3 linked regions of the Callithrix jacchus genome follow. The protein of the gene in region 2 interacts with the protein of the main gene of each other region in a pairwise test. Links are inferred from orthologs where the notes say so. Each region holds a gene or a part of one and is shown on either strand. Other genes may lie near its edges. The genes, in order: CRMP1, TK1 and UNC119.

Region 1 (6,849 bases), on a different chromosome or scaffold from region 2:
TGTCTGCCTTTCTTTACCTACAACTGTCTTGGTGAATTCTTTTTATCCCGTGCAGAACACTGGCCCCAGAAAGTTTTAGTGCTAATCATGCCTCGAATTTGGGCCATTTGGAGTAAGACGACACCCCAGTTCCTTGGCCTCATTTCCTTTTCTGCAAAATAAGAACGGTAGACTAGATGAGCGCCTTCCAACTCCGACATTATTGATTGTCTGTGTAAGCCACTGAGAACTCGGTTCAGAGTACGGACTTTTCTTTTCTGCCATTGCTTCACTGGTAAACAATTTGCCTTCTTGTAATACAAGAATCCCCTAAAGGCTTAGACTCAGGCCTAGTACTTAGCATCTTTTTCCTTATAAACATCTGTGCCTTGCTGGTTACATGTCTGCACTTTGAAAATACCTACTGGACAACAGGACACTAGTTATAGTTTGGAGTTCTGTCCCCTAAAACCTCATGCTGAAGTTTGATCCCAAAGTTGCAGGTGAGGCCGAACGGGAGGTGTTGGGTCATGAAGGGTTTGGATCACTCATGAATGGCTTGATGTCAGCCTCACAGTCATGAGTAAATTCTTGTTCTGTTAGTTCTCAGAAGAGCTGGTTGTTTCGAACCTGGCACCTCTGCCTTCTTCCTCTGGCTTCCTCTCTTGCCATGTGATCTCTGTACATGCTAGCTCTCCTTCACCTCCTGCCAGACTGGGTAGCCTGAGGCCCTCACCGGAAGCAGATGCTGGCACCATGCTTCTGGTACAGCCTGCAGAGCTGTGAGCCGAGCAAACCTCTTTCCTTTAGTTACCCAGCTTCAGGTACTCCTTTATAGCAATGTAAATGGACGGAAACAGACTACTAACTCAGGCTACGGCTCTATAATGTAACATATACGCAGATATTTAAAAGGGCATCTGTGAGGTTACTGGTACTGGAAAGCATCTGTGCTGTTGGTAGCAAATGAACTCACCTAGCAACCTGCCACGAGCAGGCAGACAGCAGCGGTGCTGCGGGCTTCAGGAGGACTCACAGTGAAACTGGGAGAACAAGGGTGGGGAGGGGCCCTTGCAGGAGGCTTTGGACTTCATTGTTATTCTTGCTCTAAGAATAATGGGGAGGAGGCTTTTCTGTCCATGTTTAATTGCAACTGTGCAATGCTTAACTGTGTAACTCCAGGACAGAGGTCCAGTTTGTAAACTCCTCGAAAGCTTGCATCTTATTATATACCCAGACAGCTTTTCCCAATATTGAAGCCAATCCCTGTTTTGCTCATTGAGCCTCACATGAATATCAGAGTTCTATTTAGGGTCTATTTTGTGCAACAATATTAAACACTGGAAGCTCTTCCATGAAAGTCTTACTGAGACTGAGACGGATAGGGAGGCCTCCCCGATTCTGACTCTCTGCACAACCACTGAGTCAGACACTTCCTGAATGGGTAAGAGGCTCTCCCACCACACAATCTAAATCCATGCTTCACCAACTCTCTCTCGCTTTGCCCCTTCCACTCTCTCTTGTGCTAAGCCTATCAGCTTTCCTGACCAGGAGTCAGCCAACTGCTCCATTGACCGAATCCAGCCCGTCGCGTTTTTGTAGTCTGTGACCTGAGAACAGTTTGTACATTTTCAAATCACCATTGAATATAACATCCTAGGCGTTACCTTTTAGCTCAAAAAGTCTAAAGTATTTACTAGCTGGCCCTTTAAGAAAGAAAAACATCACCATATTCGTAGTGCCTAGTGCGGCGTGGAACCCAGGCAATGCCTCTAAGCGTTTGCAGGACAAATTACCAATTCGACTTTCTCAACGTGTGCGTGCCTGCCCTCATGTGGCCATCTGACGAAATCGCAGACACGCCGCCCTGGGGCCTTAAAGGAGCGATCAAGTCAATATCTAATTTGGTTCCCGCACATTTGTTGAGCACCAAGTCCTGGCAATTTGACACTGGATCTCTTGGAACTTCAGTTTCCTCTTTAAATGAATAGGTATAACATCACTCTGTGGAGTAGTGAGGCTAAAATAAAATCACGGGCTGTGAAAGTGCTTGAAGTGGGCACACAGGCTGAGGACAGGTGCCCTGCCAATGGCAGCTACTCTCATCGCCTGTTCATCCCCATCACACCGTCTATCTTCACAAGGAAGCGTGGGAAAGTGTCCCCAAGTGTGTGTACGGATGAGCCCTGCGCCAGTGCTGGTGCCACTCTTTGTAAACCCAGGTCAGATACCACCATGTTGCCTCTTGAACGTGGACCCCCCTCTGCTTGGTGACCATGCCAGCCCACTCTGTCCCACCAGTGAGAACAGGCTCTGGGTGAAGGTGTGACACACTCCCTTCCCTGCTTCTTCATCAAGTGTCCAACGCCACGTGTCCATTTCCTCAGAAGCAGCAGGAAGGGCTGGGGCTGAACTGCTGCAGGGGTGGGAAGCCTGGGCCGCCACTGCTTCCTACCTGATAAGCTGAAGTTGGACTGGTGGAGGTTTCTGATAGGTGGGGGCTGGTGTTTGGAAGGCGAAGATTTGGCTGAAGGAGCGGGAGTTGCATATTTGGGTGTAGCTGGCACCTCGTACACAGGACCATCATACATGCCCCTGGAAACCCCTTGCAATCCAAAAACCTGACAGAGGAAGGGAGAGTGTGATTGAGTGTGATTGATCGACACTGTGTGCATGTGCCATTCTGGGCAGACAAAGCAGAGCCCTGTGGGCAAGAGAGAAACCTGAGATCACTTCGAATGTGCATGCACACACACAACACACATATGCACCCACACTCACACAGGCATTCATACACATAAGCATGCATAGACACACACATCACATACATGTACACAAACATGCACCCACACACATGCACACATGCACAATAACAAAACATGCCTATACAGTAGTATACACATATGAACATGCATACACACACTTAAACACATTCAGATATTCACACTCAAAGGCATATACTCACATATGTATACACAAGCATATGTGCCCACACACACACATATACACACCCGTATATACACTTACATCCACACTCATACACGTATGTACAAAGCATCATGCGGAAGAACCCCAGATCCCTTCCAAGAATAAATCACTTTCCCAGACACTGCCACCTACCCCTGCCCCTGGGAAGGACCCCTGAATCCCAGACAGGCAGCAGCAAAGGGCACATCTTCATGTACGTTCTTGCAGAAGTCAATGGTGAGGCAAAGATTCCGGGGGCAGGTAGTTTGTTGGGAAATGGTTGCAGAAAGGGGGCAGGAGTGGGGAGGTGAGACAGGGAGGGAGAAAACAGTATAGACAGGCACCAGGAGTGGGCCAGGTCTGTGGGCCACAGGGCTGGGGATGCTGGGTGGAGAGCACGCCTCTGCACTGGCCTGCAGAAGGATGGGGAAGGAGGGCAACAGAGCCACAGCCCCAGCCCTACTGGGAAGGGTGGTGGGGCAGAGACCCTGAAAGCAGCAGGGTCCTCCTTCCAGGCAGGAGGATATCAGCCTGCTGGGAACTGCCGACAGCAGCCCTGGTGCCCTAGGGATGGCCAAGGGTGAAGGGCATCTGCTCCAGGCAATGGAGGACAGCCCATGTCCAGGGACCTGCACAGGGTCCCAGCATGGGTCAGTGGCAGCGCTCTACCCGTACATGGGGCTTCGTCCTCTCCAGCAGGTGACAGTGCCCTGACCCCAGCCCCAGCTCCCTCCTCTGCAGCAGGTGACAGCACCCTGACCCCCAGTTCTGCCTCTCCATAGGAGAAAGCCTCAAGTTTAGCACCAAGCTGAAAGACCCAGCACCTACACATCATGTCGATGGCCCTCCCCTCTCCCTGGATCCCTGCTCCTCAACTCCCTGGCCTCTGCCCACTGTCCTCTGTGGCTGCTGCACTGCCTCCTGGATAAGGCCCTTCATCACTCCCTGAAACTCAGGTGGCCAGAGGCAGGCTCTGGTGCAGGTCTCTTCCCTCAACCGGCCTAGCTCCTGCAGGCTAAGGAAGGAATCCCTGTGCAGTGAGACCCCCGGTCCCAGTGCTCCAGCAGACTGCTGTCTTGGCATTTGGGGTCAGACATCTGCTATCACGGAAGCTGACTGTTAACCACAGGCCTTGGGTTCAGACCAAGAAGGAAACGAAGCCAGCCGAGGGGTGTTTCTGCCTCTTCCGTGGGTGTCCCAGCCGGGGATTCCCATGAGTCTCCTGTCCTCAAGTGGTCTGCTGCCTATGCCTGGCCACGTCTCAGATCTGACTTGTTTCTGCCCCAATGCTTGTTTCCTCGTCTGGTGCGATTTGGTGTCTTTGACCTGCATGCTACACCTTACGGGAGCTGGCAGAGCCTCCCAGTTGGGGTTGGAGCCTGGGAAAGCAGGGAGCCCTCTGGACTTTTCCATCTCAATTGGTGCCACTTATTCAGCACACCAAGAGCAGGACCACGCATGTACACACATGCTCACATATCGCGTGCACACACAAACACAGCTCAACACATGCTCACAGACACATACACACACTCCAACATGCACACACATCCCCATATGCATGCACACACGTGCATGCATGTACACATGCACACATAACACACAGACACACACACATATGCACACGTGCGTGCACACACACACACATGCAGCTGGCCTTTCTGGCAAACATCAGCTGTCTCATGGGGAAAGCAGCTGCCATAGGGGTGGGAGGGCCTGGGGAGGGAAGATGCTGGCCACGCGCGGCAGTCTGTCCCAGCTGAGGAAGTTATCCCCTCCAGTTGCTCTGTTAGGAATAGAGCCTGCCCCTTGCTTTTGACAGATGTCCTGGGATCAGTGCTTAAGGCGGTTCAAGGAAAACAAGGAACAACAGGGCAGAACCACCAAGGGAAGAGGGACAGGAAGAAAGGGTGGATCTGAAAGGAGCCCGACCTGCAGGAGGCTGGGGTAATGCCTCTCTCCAAAGGGCCAGGCCCGAGGGGTTCTGGGCTGTGACTCTGGCTAAGCCCTTCACAGCTCTGGGCTGCAAAAGCAGGATCACAGCAGCTCCAGTGAGTGTGCAGGATTCCTTAAGATGACACAGGACATTGCCCAGGGCAGCTCGGTAAGCGTCCCTCCTGTGACCGACCCACCCACCTTCATGGGTGCACGCCCCTCCACAGTTGCAAAACCCTGGAACTTGCATGTCCTCATTCGATGCTCACTCCTGTCCTCAGACAGGAGCCCAGGGCAGCGTCCCAACCCATTTAACAGAGAAGGAAAGGGAGGTTCCCAGGGCTCTGGCATTATTAACTCCGCACACGTCAGACCTCGATTCCCCAAGAGAAGCTGTCGGTTCTGGTCCCATGGTGGGCCCGTCCTCTGAGGACACACTCACCTTATTCCTGATTTTGACGCGCTGGTAGAGGTGCTCTGGAAACGGCTTCCGCGGGATGAAGCGGCCCATGCCCTTGTTGACGTTGATGTTTCCATCTTCAAACACAATCTTGCCCTGGCTGATGACCACTAGCGGGGAGCCGTGGCACTCCATGCCCTCGAAGATATTGTACTCCACCGCCTGCACCAACAGCCTCAGCGTTACTTCCCTGGCTTGCTCTGCTCAAAACCCGCTGTTTGCAACAGCGATTTTGCCTAACATTATATCACAAGCATGTTCCAATGTTTTTTTCTCTCTCTCTCAAAACACCTTTTACTGACTGTATAATACTCCAATGGCCCAGAATATCTATAACCAAGAACTCCCCGCTGGGCAGGTGGGCTGCTGGGGGCTTTCTATAATCAAATCAATACAGTCCTGGGGCATCGCCAACACAAAGGGGTCCCCGTGGGCTTAGGCAATGTGGTTGCTTTGACTATACTAGACGCAAAGATAAATAAAATGTTCTTTATTTAAAATACTTCTTTAAATAGTTTTTCTCTAAGATAGTTTTCTAAAATCAAATTACTGGGTGAAAGAATATGCGCTGTTTTAAAGCATGTGTTGCACATGGCCAAACTCTTTTCCCAAGGGATCAGACCAGCTGACACTGTACCAGCCATGAGGGAGAGACATTTCAGGGTCACCCCCTCCAGCACTGGGGAGTGCCATTTTTTTCTTTCTCAGCTAATTTGAAAGACAAAATAACATTTCCTTTAAAACACACATTTGGCCGGGTACAGTGGCTCATACCTGTAATCCCAGCTACTCAGGAGGCTGAGGCATGAGAATTGCTTGAACCTGGGAGGTGGAGGTTGCAGTGAGCTGAGACTGCGCCACTGCACTCCAGCCTGGGGGACAGAGCGAGACTCTGTCTCAAAAAAACAAAACAAAACAAAAACAAAAACACATTTCTTCCATTACTCTTAAAAAGTGAATGCCTGACCTTGTCTGTCCAACTGCTTTTTATTTATTATTTTAAAAGTAGGTCATATAGACAGTTGAAAAAAAATCAAATGGTAAAAAAGATATTTGACAGAACGGAAGTCTGTCTTCTACTTGAGTCTGAGACATATGTCTCGAAGAGTTCCTTCTATATCTCTATGTATGTCCAAGGTATGAATAACTGTCTCACGTATACACATCTCTACACAGACATGTCTCACCTTGATTTTTCCTTACCTCAGCAATTGTTCTGTATCAGCACACACACAAAATAGTTTTACACTCTTATACCGTATTTCATCAGGAGGATGTGCTACCACTTACACAGCCAGTTCCCAAGGATAAACAGTTGGGTCCTTGCCATGCCTCTGCTAAAAACAATGCTGAAACAGATTTTGCACCCACAATCTGCACACACGAACACGTTTCTAGATGTGGAGTTTGACGCCAAAGAGTAAACGGATTTTCACCTTTAATAGATTTGCCCTCCAAAAAAGGCAATGCTAGTTCCCACTCCCAACAAAACTGTGAGCTTACCTGAC
Region 2 (6,849 bases):
CCCTGGGTGTGATGTTTTCATGGGCCAGGCTAGAAGTTGCAAATGTCACCTCTGCTGATCTTTCAAAGATTAGAATCTGGGCATAGGGCACAGGGTCACCTTTAGGTTTAGTCTAGTACACCTAGTCTAGTTTTTTTTTTTTTTTTGAAACAGTCTTGCTTTGTGGCCCAGGCTGGAGTGCAGTGGCACGATCTCAGCTCACTACAACCTCTGCCTCCCAGGTTCAAGTGATTCTCCCACCTCAGCCTCCCAAGTAGCTGGGATTACAGGCTCCTGCCACTACGCGCAGCTATTTTTTTGTATTTTTAGTAGAGATGGGGTTTTGCTGTTTGGGCAGCCTGGTCTTGAATTCCTGACCTCAGGTGATACGCTTGCCTTGGCCTCCCAAAGTGCTAGGATTATAGGCGGGAGCCACCGCGCCTGGCCACACTTAGTCTATTTTTATACCCTTGACTGTATACTTAGTCTAGTTCTATACCTGGAGGAAGAATAAATGGGTTTGTTTGCTGAGCGGTGGTTCAAGATCTCTACCCATCCTGCCTCCCAGCATAGAGCCAGGCTGCTCCGGCTGGAAAACCCTGTCCGAACATCCCAGGGACTGTCCCCCCAGCTGGGCAGTCCTGTGTTCCTGGTTCTGCTCTTGCCCAGCATTCTCTAAATGTCACAGCCCCAAATTTCATTCTCATGGGGAGGCTGACTGGTCCCTTACCCTGTGGAGTTGGACTCCAAGCTGTCGGTGTCCGCTGTGGGTTCCAGATCACCCAGTAGCTGACAACTGCTCCCCGCTTGGGTGTGCCCATTCCATTTCTGACCTTCAGAGGTGCGCTTCTGGGCACCCCCATACCTCTGCATCCACAGAGATGTTGTTGCCGCCGTGTGGTTGAGAGACTCCAGGCGAGAAGGTGGGCCCAGGCTGGGAACAGGGCTGCAATTTTTTTCTTTTGCTCCCAAACTGTGGCCTTGGAATGCATCCAGGGATTCTGCATCAGCTTTGGGGGCATGGCCCTCTCAGAACAAGGAAGAGCAAGGAAGCTTTAGCTTTGGCGAGGCTCTCCCTGCCTTCAGACCTGCCACTGTGAGTTGCTCAAGAGCTCTGCTCTGGCTCTGCATAAACCTTGTTGACAGATGCTGACCCAGACCCCCCCCAGGCAGAAACCTTTCCCTTCTCCTTCCTCCTTCCGTAACATCCAGGAGCCAGCATATTAAGTCCTGTCCCGTTCCAGCCTGAAGGAGAGATTTCTCAGTCTACTTCCTCCCTGGCCCACAAGTAAAACTTTAGTTCATTCAGGGAGTGCTTATTACACCCCATATCCAGACATCAGCCTTGTGCCATTCTGTGTGCCCTTGTTCCTTTCTAGAAGTTTAGCATCTTCCCACTGCAAGCATTTCTAGATGGAGGAGAGGGGTTCCTAGTATGGGGACCCACAGAAGGACTGTCCTTCCCTCCTTCATTGTCTACGTGGACAGTGGAAGAAGCCCAGCCTGACCTGCCTTGTTCCTGTTTTCTGGGTCAGCAGGGAAAGCCTTTCATAGAGTAGCCACCATGCCATCCTGAGGAAGGCCCTAGGTCAGAAGCTTCTGTGCTTCTTTGTATGCCGGGTGAGGCACAGTGGCGCTCACACTGCTTTGTAGAAATTGTTGGCATGCAAGAGAGAGTCATGTGGAGACCCCAAAGCCACTAGCTGGGCGTGCTGTGCTTCAGATGCTGGTGGTGGGTGAGCACCCTGGCCCCAGCACCTCCCCGATGCGTTCATCAACAGCTGTACAGTGTCTGGCGGGCCTGCAGGGTTGCTTGGCAATAGTGGAAGCTCTGATTTTTTTAAACTTTTTTTTCTGGCTGGGCACAGTGGCTCACACCTATAATCCTAGCGTTTTCGAAGGCCAAGGCGGGCGGATCACTTGAGGTCAGGAGTTTGAGACCGGCCAGGCCAACATAGTAAAATCCCGTCTCTACTGAAAATACAAAAATTAGCCGGATGTGGTGGCACACACCTATTATTCCAGCTACTTTGGAGGCTGAGGCAAAATCATCACTTGAACCCGGGAGGCAGAGGTTGTGGTGAGCCAAGATCATGCCACTGCACTCCAGCCTGGGTGACAGAGTGACTCTGTCTCAAAAACAAACAAACAAAAAAAACCAAAAAACGGTTTTTTGTGTTTTCTGTTCTACTAACACAAGTAATACAGGTTGAATGTTCCTTATCGTAAATGCCTGGGACCAGAAGTGTTTGGATTTCTGATTTTTTCAGATTTTGGAATATTTGCATATATATAATATAATGAGACCTTGGGAATGAGTCCCAACTGTAAATACAAGATCCGATATGTTTATAGATGCCTTATCCACATAGCCTGGGAGTGATTTTATATGCTATCTGGTAATTTGGGCATGAGCCAGGGTTTTGACTGTGAGCTGTCCCATAAGGTCAGGTGTGAAATTTTCCACTTGTGGTATGCACTCAAAAAGTTTCAGGTTTTGGAGCCTTTTGGATTAGAGACTTCGTAAGTTTAATCTGGAAAAACTTAAGAGTCTGGCACAGTGGCTCATGCCTGTTATGCCAGCACTCTGGGAGGCCGAGGCACGCAAATTGCTTGAGACTAGGAGTTTGAGACCAGCCTGGGCAATATGGTGAAACCCTGCCTCTACCAAAAATACAAAAATTAGCCAGGAGTAGTGGCACATACCTGTAGTCCCAGCTAGTTGGGAGGCTGAGGTGGGAGCATCGGCTGAGCCTGTAGGTCCAGGCTGTGAGTCATGGTTGAGCCACTGCCCTCCAGCCTGGGCAATGGGGAGCAAGACTGGGAGCTGCCTTTTTGTGACATGTGATGAATCCTCAGAGAAAAAGAGAGAACACGTGCATGGTGGGGCAGGGCCCAGCGTGCTGGAGTCTCTGGGTTTTCTTTCTAGAGGCCCCTGCAGTCTGCTGAGCGCAGTCGGTTACATCAGGCTTCACCTGGATCCCACTGGAATTTTTCCAGTTATCCCCTAGTCCTCGCCTTGCTAAGCCCTAATGTCTTAATAACCTCAAACCTCAGTACCTGGGCTGAGGAAAGCCTGAGGGGCTCCTGGAGAGAGACCTGTGCCCAAGGACAGGAACATCCCCACTTCAGCCAACCCAAAGGCCAGTCTGGACATGTGAACTCAACCAGCTAAAAGCAATATGACTGATTGATGAGAATCACCAAAGCACTTGCTAGAGTTTCAGCTTCTCCCTGGGCCAAAGTGAAATTTGATGTAGGCAGTAAATGTGCTCTGTGCCGGCCCTGTATTTAGAAGGCTGTGCTGTGTCATCCTGCTCTGTAAATGGCCAGGAGGACCCCCACACCTTCTCAAGGCACATTACCTGTCTAAAAAGGCGAGGGGGCAAGAGCACAAAATGCCCAGCTACTCACTGAAGTGCATGTGTATAACTTAGTGCCTTCTGTCCTTACACAATAGGACCTTTCTTGCTATCGCTCAGTGAAGAGGAAACAGGTTCAGAGAAGTTAACTCACTGCCAAGGTCACACAGATAATGGTGTCCGCTCGGAATAGCGGTGTCCGAGCCCCAGGCAGCAGATGTCTGGCCCCAGCCTTTGGCCGCTGCAGTGTTAAACAGCACAGCAGGTGTGGAAGTCTGATGCTGAGTCCTGGGTACCTGGACTCGGAGCAGAAGCTGGCTGCAGAGGGAAGAGGCTGGGCAGTTGTGGATGTGCCTGTCATCTGCTGGGAGGGCACCCATGGACAGTCCCCAGCCTGAGGAACCTCATGGAAGAGTTAGAGTTGCTCCAGGCTGAATGGCGGGAGTTGTCTGATCTGGCAGCGTCTCTGCTGGGACTTCAGGGAGCTGCTGCTAGGGTGGAAACTCTCACGCTTTCTCCACCTTCCCTTTCCAGTTCCCTGACATCGTGGAGTTCTGTGAGGCCATGGCCAACGCCGGGAAGACAGTAATTGTGGCTGCACTGGACGGGACCTTCCAGAGGAAGGTAAGGTGTCTGATCCAGGTCTGGAGCGTGATTCCAGGAGGGGAGGGGGCTTCTGGGTGGCCAGGGCCCAGCCACTGTAGGGGCACAGTTGAGCTGCTCAGACCAGTCCTTGCCTGAGCCTAGGGACTCCCTGGTCTATGCAGACCAGGTGCCATCTGTTGCGGCAGGTGGTTTGAATTGGCAAGGAGACAAAGCCAGGCATGGTGCTCTGGGGGTTGGGGGAGGACTGAGGTCAGAGCAAACTTTCCTGGCTTCAGTGCTTATGAATCAAAGGGTTTAAAAGAAAACCCCGCCTGGGAAGGTAGCCGAGCACCCACTGTCTTTCCATGGGAGTGCAGGCATTTGGGACCATCCTGAACCTGGTGCCGCTGGCCGAGAGCGTGGTGAAGCTGACCGCAGTATGCATGGAGTGCTTCCGGGAAGCCGCCTACACCAAGAGGCTTGGCACCGAAAAGGAGGTACCTCCACCTGTCTTCCCTGCGGGCTGGTGGGGTGGGGGCGTGGCTCTGTCTCCTTCCTGTCCCGGCCCTTCACCCATCCCCTGTCCCTGCGGCTAGGTCGAAGTGATTGGAGGAGCAGACAAGTATCACTCTGTGTGTCGCCTCTGCTACTTCAAGAAGGCCTCAGGCCAGCCTGCCGGGCTGGACAACAAAGAGAACTGCCCCGTGCCAGGAAAGCCAGGGGAGGCTGCGGCTGCCAGGAAGCTCTTTGCCCCGCAGCAGATTCTGCAATGTAGCTCCACCAACTGAGGGGCCTGAAAGGGCTGCTCACTCTCTTCCAGCCGCTGCCGCCTAGCGGACACTGCTCTCCACGCTACCTGCCTGCTCCAGGAGGGTGACCACATCTTGGCCTTTGGGAAGTCTCCTTTGTGCAGCTGCCCCACCTGCCACGTGCTCTCTCCTCTCCTGCCCACCGGCCTGCTTAGCTTCCCTCTTGGCTGCTGGGACGGTCGCCCAGGCTGGACCTGGCCCTGCCTGGTGACCTAGGATCTGGCATACTCCCCCTGCTTGGGGTGAGGGACAGCCACACACTGTTGACATCAGCCTGCTTCTTCCCCTCTGGCTTTCACTGCTGAGTTTCTGTTCTCCCTGGGAAGCCTGCACCAGCATCTTTAAGCCTTGGGCCATAGAGGCTTAGGCCCCTCTGCCTGGGATAGGCCCCTGCCCTCCCTGAGGATGGCCTGGACTCATGCCCTCTTGCTTCCTTTTGGGCTCAAAGCCCCTCCTACCTCTGGTGATGGTTTCCACAGGAACGACAGCATCTTTCACATGGGTGGCACCAGCCTTGCTGGGACTTGGATTGTAGGTGCTTGTCTCTTCGTGGGAAGAGGGCAGGGTCAACGTCTCTGCTGTAGTGTATGAAATTAACTAACTTAAAATTCACTGGTTGGTAGACGCTCATTTCTCTTTAAGCTGGGTTTCCCCGGGTCTCATGGACAGTGCCAACTGATGTGGGTGGGGATTTTCTTCCAGGTCTTTGTTTTGTTTTGAGATAGGTTCTCTGTCACCCAGGCTGGAGTACAGTGGTGCAGTCTCGGCTCACTGCAGCCTCTGCTTTCCCAGTTCAAGTGATTCTCCCCACTCAGCCTCCCTAGTAGGCAGGATTACACGTGTGTGCCACCACACCTGGTGAATTTCTGTATTTTCAGTAGAGACGGGGTTTCACCATGTTGACCAAGCTGGTCTTGAACTTCTGATCTCAAGTGATCTGCCTGTCTCAGCTTCCCAAAGTGCTGGTATTACAGGCGTGAGGCACCGGGCCTGGCCCCCAGATCTTTCTGTAGTAATACTGATCTCATAACCACAGCCGGTTAACTGAGAAATGATCGTGGGGCGTGTCCTAAGGGGAACATCATCTGCCTTCCTGTCTGGGCCAGTGTCAGGACAAAAATGGGTGCACAGGGGAGCCCAGGGCCCAGCTGGAAGGAAGGATGGGGGCGCATACCTGCCCGCTGGGACTTCCAGGTCAGTTTTTGTTTGTGAAACACACGCTGGGTAGTTCAGGAATCAAGACACCTCTCAGCTGTGCCTCAGAGATGGGCTGTTGGCAGCTCACTTGGACTCAGGCATTGCTGGGGTGAGGTGTGCCCTAGGCAGGCAGGGTCACCGCTGCCAGGGCCTCCCCAGCCTCCTCCTCCCCTTTGCTAGTGATGTGTCCCAAGCCAAAGCCATCGGGTGAGGTTGGGAGCAGTGCTGTTACTTTGTATTGGGGATTTTTAAACATTCGGGACTTGCCATTGACAACTCTGTCATTGCTCAAAAGAGGAAGCCAGGAGTTGCTTTAGGGCCCTGACCTCTTCCAGAGATGGGTCTTATCTCCAAGGGGCGGCTGGAAGGCCAAGCCCACTCCCTGCTGTGTCCCAGGAAGGGTCCAGAGGTGCTGAGCCCTGGAGGAAGGCAGAAATGTGGCTTACCCATGGTACTCCTCTTTCAGTGCTAAGAAAGGGCTGAGAGGGAAGGGGCATTCAGTGGGCAACTCCCAGGTACCCCCACCCCAACACTAGGAAGGGAACAGCAGGACCCTGGCACCGAAGGCCAGAAAAATCTTGTAAACAAGATGAGCACAGTTGCTATTTTAAGATCTGGATGAAAGGCTTGTGCGGAATGCGACCCCAGATGGAAAGGGGGCCAGCCAGGCAAGCTGGAGGGGGTGTACTGCCACTGCCTTGTGTAAAACACAAGTTTCAGAAAGCCAGCCCTTAAGGGTGTACCCAGAGTGGAGTCCCTTCCTCCGACCCCTAGGCTCTGGCTCAACCAATGGCAATGGAGACTGAGTGAGAAAACATTTATTCCTTCTCCAAACAGCATCCCAGGGCCGGGCGTCACCCCCAAGGCTTTATAATACATTCGGCACAGAGTGGGAGCCATGGGGCATGGGACACCCC
Region 3 (6,757 bases), about 29 Mb from region 2:
TAAAAACATTGTTTGGGAGAGTCCCGGTAATTGCAGGACATTTGGCATTCCTGTCCCCTGCTCACTAAATAACAACAGTGTCCGTGGAGGACCCCATGATCTCAGCCACCATCACAGCTTCAGCAATCACCTTGTGGTCAATGGCCTCGACAATCACCACCTCCAGCCCTTATTCCCCTCCTGGTCTCAGGACCTGTCTTTCCTGTCTTCTGGTCATTTCCTCCATGCCCCAGCATGTCTCAATCTGAGGTCATCATCTCCCACTGGCATCTCCCTGATCCAACCTGCATTCTCCAGCCCAGTGATGGCACCCCAGCCGCTCTAGCACCCAGGCCACAAAGCAGGCAATCAGCCTCGCCTCCTCCCTCTCTCCAACCCACTCATCCCATCAGCCACCAGTCCTTGGGATATCACCTCTTAAAAATACCAATTTCATCTGTTTCTCTCCATCTCTGAGGACACTGATCTAATTCAGGTTCTCTCTCTCTCACCAGATTCCTGCAGTACCCTCCTCATCCTCACTGCCCCCTGCCCTTAGTATGGTCGCGCATGGAGCCAGACTGCCTGGATTCAAATACTGGCTCTGCCACTTCGTAGCTGTGCAATATTGGCTAGGCACATTAACCTCTCTGGGCCTACATCTTCTGTAAAATGGGCATAATGGTGGCTTCCTCAGAAATGACCATGTTTTATGAGTCAACACATGTAGAGCACCCAGCCCCGGGCCTGGCACTCAGTAAATCTTGGCTATTATTCGTCTCATTCTTTCCAATCTGCCCTTCACTCAGCAGCCAAAGATAATCTGACCAGGTCATGCCCACTTAATCCTCCTCAGGGGTTTCCCACCTCTCAGAAGCCCCGCTCCTGAGGCTCTGCAGATGTGTCTTCCTTTCACATTACATTCACTCTTGAACACACCTAAGCTCACACCCATAATCCTAGCACTTTGGGAGGCCCAAAGCAGGAGGATTCCTTGAACCCAGGAGTTCGAGACCACCCTGGGCAACATAGGGAGACCCTCTCAAATAAATAAATAAATAAATACACCTGATAAATCTTGCCTCTGAACCTTAGCTTAGGCTGTTCCCTGTGCCTAAGCACTCTTTCCAACTCTTCCCATCACAAGCACCTGCTCCAGTGCTGCCTCCTCTAAAACTCCTCTCCAGAACCCTCCACACAGAACAACTCTGTTGCTCTCCATGTACCCAGTCTTTTTTTTTTTTTTTTTTTTTTCAGAATTCCCAGAATTCAGTGCAGATCCTAGCCCCACTGCCTGCTCCCAGCAAGAGCTTCACAGAATCAAGCGGAACTCCAGCACTTCTGGGCCTCCTGGGGCCACAGCTCCTCAGCCCAGAGGGTAGGTCAGCTCCAGGCATATCTGGAGGGCCTGGAACTGTAGGGTATAGGGTGTGTTCTCTGCCCACCTCAGTTCCTGAATTTCCTCCATTAAGGAGCCTCCTCCTCTGAATCTGGGGAGGGGGTGGAGGCTGAGAGCAGTGTTATGTGCAGGGCTGCCCCGGCATGGGGGCTCCCCAAGGCAGCTGAGGACAAGGAGATGGCTCCAGGCCTTAGCCAAAGCCCTGCCACCTTCTGTGATAAGGGCTAAAAGCACAACCCAATGGTCCTAGTGGCCTCTGGGGTTCAGGGAAGGTAGCGTGGAGGACAGGGCTACCTCCTCCACACCTTCCCTCCCACCCGGGAATTCAGGGCCTTTGTTTCAGCCTCTGTTCTGCCAGGGTTGACTCTGACTTTGGGCCAAAGCTTCCCCTCTCAGGATCTGGGTCTCCTTCATCACAAGAAAGACCCTCTCCAGTTCCATCCTGTTCTAAATGCTGACTCTAGGTGGTGTCAGAGCACAGAGAATCAGAGGTCAGGAAGACCAAGGGGTTAGAGTGCACTGGAGCGTGGGAGGCAGGAGAAATTTTTTACTACCTTAAGCACATTCCTGCCTATCCCCCCTCCCTTCTTTGCCCATCACATAGAGGCTGGCCACACCTGAGAACAGAAAAGGAGACAGTTTATTGAAAACTATATACAGCTGGTCCAGCTCCTACCATGGGCTGCAATCTCAGCCAGTCCCGCCTACACCTCAGGCAGTGTCCTGGCCCCTCATGGGAGGAATGGGGCTGGGCCTAGGGCCCAGACTCCGTTGGGTGGCTTGGCAGCTGGAGCCCACCGTGATCTTTGTAAAGTACAACTCTAAGTGGCCTGAAGGTAGTGGGCAAGGGACAGGGCATGGATCCCTGCCTGACCTAGTCACAGCCTTGATAGGGGAACACTATTCTGAAACTGGGCCCAAGGAGGGCTGAGCTAAGTTGTCTGGAAGTCCTGATTGCTCCTCTCATAGGCCTTCCTAGACATGGAGGCAAACAGCCTCCCTACGACCCCACCCCACGCAGCAGGCCCCATGGGCTTCACGGGCTTGACTGGGACACCAGGTACCCTTCCTCCCAACACTGACTCAGGGTCCAGGTCTCCTGGAGCACTTCCCAAGCAGAGGACTTGGGGTTGAGGGGTGAGCGTTGGGGAGGTCACAGCTCCGGGCCCAGAACCGGAGCTTCCTGGGGTGGGGCCAGCCGTGGGGTCAGGGTGTCCCGCTATAGGAATAGTCTGCTTTGTTGTGCATCACCAGCCGGTCATCCACGAAGTAGAAGCTGTCAGACTGGGTCTCATATGGGTGGCGGATCATCTCGCTGACTGCAAGAGAGGCCCAGCCAGGCCGGGCAAAGGTCAGGAGCCTGATTCCGACCACTGCAGGGGCTTTAGGACTGGGGTTCAAGGATGGCAACAACTTGAGATATCGCCAGCCTCTTTCTCTACAGATGATATGAGACTGGTGCCAGACACAGAGCCCCAGGGTGGGGAAAAATGGGGTCAGACCCAGAAGTCCCCCTCCCTCCCATAGCTCAGTCTCTACACACCCCCCCCACATCCCCCACATCCCCACTCGCAGAAGGCCCTGCCCACGCACTCAGCTCCTCGGAGAGAGGGGGGAAGTCATAGATGTGTTCGCAGGTGTTCTTGCTGCTGGGGATGCAGAAGCCAAAGTGGAAGTCAAAGCTTTTGAGTAGCTGGTTGCGGAAGTAGTGCCTCTCGATCATTCGGAAGTTGTTGACAGGCTTGTCTCCCACGGTGAACTCCACCCTGAGCACAAGAAAAGGAGGCAAGGTTGAGTCTGTCCTTGAAGTCAGCCAGCCAGACAGGCTCAGGACAGGCCACCCCTAGGAGAGGCTGAGAAGGGCCCACTCCCACCCTCTCCCTCACCCCCTTGACCCCACCTCCTGCCCAGTGACTCACGTGGCTCCCACCTGCCTCAGACGGAGGAAGGCAGGTGTGAACTGGTAGCGGACAAAGCGCCCAGCATTGGGGTCCAGGTCCCGCCGGCTGATGGGCAACCGCTCTGCAATGTACCCCCGCTGGGGCTCAGTGGGCTTCAGGCTGGGCCCTTGTCCACCCAGGGTTCTACCCTCAGGCCCCCATCTGTCTGAATTTTTTATAACTCCCCAAGAAATTCTGGGGCACACTGAGGGGTCAGACCATTGGCCGAATAGCGCCACCTAGGGGTTCTAGGTCTGCAGGTTCCCAATTGCCACTGTGGTTCCCAGGACCCATAGGACTGCAGTTCCCAGAGAGGCCTGTAGAGGTCAGGCTGCCAGGGACCGAAGGGACAGGGCTGACTTCGGAAGATGTCCAGCCTCAAAAACAAATGGGAAGGAAAAGAAGGGGCCCCCTCTGCCTGCAGACTCCTGAGAATGCTGGGGTCCAAGCCCCAGCTCTGTGGACTCCTCTGTGGCCCAAGGAGTCCCTGGCAGCCCAGTCCACAGCTCGTGCCTGTCAATGGCTCACCCAGCCCACTCACCTGAAGCTGGGGGCTTCTTGATTTCAAAGAGGACAGTGCCTGAGTCCATGTCCCGAATCTTAAACCTGACGAAGTCGATCTTGTAGATATTCTCCTCAGGGGAGCAGAGGTAGTCTAGGGGAGACAGGCAGCTGAGCAAAGAGGGGGCCCCAAAGCCCCTGCTGCCAGGTCAGCTTGTGTGGGACCCCAGAGTAGCTACCATCTTCTCATCCCTGGGATCACTGCCCTCTGGAAAGAGGAACCTGAGCCCCTGCCATAGGGGTACACCCCCAGTGTGGAAGAGACATCACTCAGCCATGGGGATCTAACAGGAAATAAGGAGAGCCATCCCAGTGGCCTCTGGGGCCAATGAAGGGCAGGGCAGAGAAAGATGGAGGACAAGGCCACCTCCAGGACACTCTCCCTCCCGCCCTGGAGTTGATGGTCCTCATTCTGGCCTCTGCTCTGCTAAGGCTGGCTAGGTGACTTTGGGAGAACTGGATCTCCAGCCTGGTGGGAGCCTCTCCTCTCATTTGGGAACAACTTCCTGCAGTCTGACCTGCCTCTTCTACTGCAAACTCAATCTCTCAACCTCTCTGTTGCCTTTGAGAACCACACTGTAAAGGGGACCACACAGCTCTGCCTGGTAGAGTCACAGTCCTTCTCTGGAGGATACCCCTACCCTTGCCCCACGGTTGCCCCTGGCATGACATCTAGATGTGTCAGGTGAGGCTGATGTTGAGGGGACTTTTCCTGACATGGGTGGTGCTGGGGCAGGTGAACAACCCTTCCCTGTTCCTCCTCCCCTCCCAACCCCCTCCTCTCAGTAAGAGGCTTACACCAGCCCAGCTCCCTTAAGCAGCTTAACCAAAGCTCTGCTGACTCAAGCCCAGAGCCTGGGATATGGCAGGGGAGGAGGCCAACTTCACTCTCATCCTTTGTTGATCTCCAAATGGGAGGAAGTCTTAGCAAGCAGAGGGAACCCCCTTAGAGGTCATTTACACAGCCCTGGCTCTGAGCCACCTCCCCCCGCCCCGACCCCCATAGAGAAGAGAAAGTAGCCCCCGACCCCCATAGAGAAGAACACAGGCTAGGCCAGGAAGAGGGTATGGCAGGTGCAGCAGCAGTTGTGGAAGGGGTAAGGGGAGTCCTCAGGCCCAGAAGGGGAACCAAGAACAGTGGGAGGCCCTGTCTGAGGAAGCTCGGGGACCTCCAGGGCCTTATCTAACCCTCGCAGCTCTTGCAGCAGCGACTTCAAGTGCTCAGGGAGGCCCTGGCAACAAAGAGAGCTGAGAGGTGCGGGGAGGGGCTCTGGTGCTGTCAGCCTGCGCAGCATCACATCCTCCCCTGGTGGCCTATCGAGGCCCAGAAATCACCCTCCAGGCCCCTGGGCCACCTCCTAGTCCTCTGGGGCAGGAAGACGAAGTGAATATAAAGTCATTTTCTCTTCCCCAGGCCCACTTCTTCCCCAAGCCTGATAGTCTCCTCCAGGAAGCCCTTCTGGCAGTTATCTGTTACCCCGGGGCCCAGTATAGACTTTATACAGCTTGGGGAAGAGGCAGGGCCCTGAGTCTACTACAGCCCATGGGTGGGGTGGGGGGAGAATGGAAGTGGGCCACCCCTACCTCACCTTGTTCACCCTATGTTCACAGAAAGTAAGCGCCAGTATAAAGACACAGAGAATGTACAGAGCATAGGGAACGGAGGTGGCAGAGTGGGGAGCAGGATCCTAGTGCCCAGCTCTCAGATCCATAAGGCCTTTTTGCCTCCCATTCTTCACTTTCGGAGCCTCTCTCAATTAGCAACAACTTCCTGCAGTCTGATCTCAGTGCCTTCTACTGAAAACTCAATCTATCAGCCTGTCTGTCCTTAGAGGAAGTGAAGAACAGGGATGTCCATAGCTCAGAACACCATGACCATTCCTTCCCTTCTAGAAAGGATGAGGCCTGGGACCCAGGGTCAGGTCAAAATAGGGGCAGAGTGGCCAAGGGCTCAGACCACAACTGCTCTATTCCTCCCAACCATAAATAGCTTCCTAAGCTGGATTCAGGGCCCAGTAATCTGGGAACAGCAAACCTCAGACCTGTGTGATTAGGGTCAGAAGAGACCAGGCAAGGGGTGCCAGGGTGGAAAGCCCTGGAACTCGGTTCTCAACTCCTGTACAGGAAGGGGTTCCCATAAAGCCCTTCCCCCGACTTACCCTCCACAGATGCCCAATCTCTAAGGGCTAAGAATTTCCTCCAAAGTAGGAGACAAATGGCAGTACATGAGCTGGAAGCTCCCTCTAGTTGCAACATAAACCCCCAAAGTTACTCAGGACTCAGTCAGTCTCACCTCTGGACTGCCTCTGAGAAAGTTCTGCCCCAGAGCTAAGCTGAATCCTAAACGCTGCTGCTGCAGATTGTAGCCCAACTGGCTTCAACATCAGCCTGATCCAGGCCTCCTCCCTCCATTGATGCCTGCTTGGGTAAGGGAGCTCAGCACTCTGGGGGCCCAGCCAAGAATGCCTGCTGTCCAGCTCAGAAAGGAGGGAGGAGTTGGCCCCCCAGCGACTCAGGAGCACCAGCTCAAGGCTGCCTCCCCTCCACAGCTATGTCTGGGAGCCCTGGGGCTCTGCTGCTTTGGAAGCTCCAGGACTCAGATCCACTTCAAAACCTGCCCCTCATACCCACAGAGAGGAGCCCCAACAGTTATTCTCACAAAGGGGGCCAAGGCAGGTTGCTGGTGGATGAGGCCAAGGTGGAGAGCCACTGTCTCTCCATGCACTGCTCATCCTTTGAGGCTCAGCCAAGGCTTCTGCTATGAGGTTTCCTAGCCCTCGTTCCCTGCCTATGATGACCCTCTCCCCTGCCCTGAATGCCAAGTTGTTTGACTCCAGGCAGCAGCCATGTAGGGCCCAAAATACTACTGACCAAAGAG

What was found.
Region 1: the proteins of TK1 (region 2) and CRMP1 interact in a two-hybrid assay, tested with the Homo sapiens proteins (2 studies listed by BioGRID and IntAct). The link is inferred for Callithrix jacchus from reciprocal best matches to the Homo sapiens genes TK1 and CRMP1.
Region 3: the proteins of TK1 (region 2) and UNC119 interact in a two-hybrid assay, tested with the Homo sapiens proteins (2 studies listed by BioGRID and IntAct). The link is inferred for Callithrix jacchus from reciprocal best matches to the Homo sapiens genes TK1 and UNC119.

The regions. Positions count from the first base shown.
Region 1 is NC_133504.1:186,029,784-186,036,632, forward strand, and holds part of CRMP1 (dihydropyrimidinase-related protein 1), read right to left. Parts: intron 5,504-6,849; coding exon 5,324-5,503; intron 2,601-5,323; coding exon 2,435-2,600; intron 1-2,434.
Region 2 is NC_133506.1:133,956,915-133,963,763, reverse strand, and holds the end of TK1 (thymidine kinase, cytosolic), read left to right. Parts: intron 1-3,875; coding exon 3,876-3,965; intron 3,966-4,303; coding exon 4,304-4,423; intron 4,424-4,522; coding exon 4,523-4,714; 3' UTR 4,715-5,347; downstream 5,348-6,849. UniProt on the Homo sapiens protein: Cell-cycle-regulated enzyme of importance in nucleotide metabolism. Catalyzes the first enzymatic step in the salvage pathway converting thymidine into thymidine monophosphate.
Region 3 is NC_133506.1:105,062,026-105,068,782, reverse strand, and holds the end of UNC119 (protein unc-119 homolog A), read right to left. Parts: intron 6,326-6,757; exon of another isoform or gene 6,264-6,325; coding exon of another isoform or gene 6,173-6,263; intron 4,593-6,172; exon of another isoform or gene 4,552-4,592; coding exon of another isoform or gene 4,521-4,551; intron 3,974-4,520; coding exon 3,860-3,973; intron 3,401-3,859; coding exon 3,298-3,400; intron 3,145-3,297; coding exon 2,972-3,144; intron 2,698-2,971; coding exon 2,585-2,697; 3' UTR 2,001-2,584; downstream 1-2,000. UniProt on the Homo sapiens protein: Involved in synaptic functions in photoreceptor cells, the signal transduction in immune cells as a Src family kinase activator, endosome recycling, the uptake of bacteria and endocytosis, protein trafficking in sensory neurons and as lipid-binding chaperone with specificity for a diverse subset of myristoylated proteins.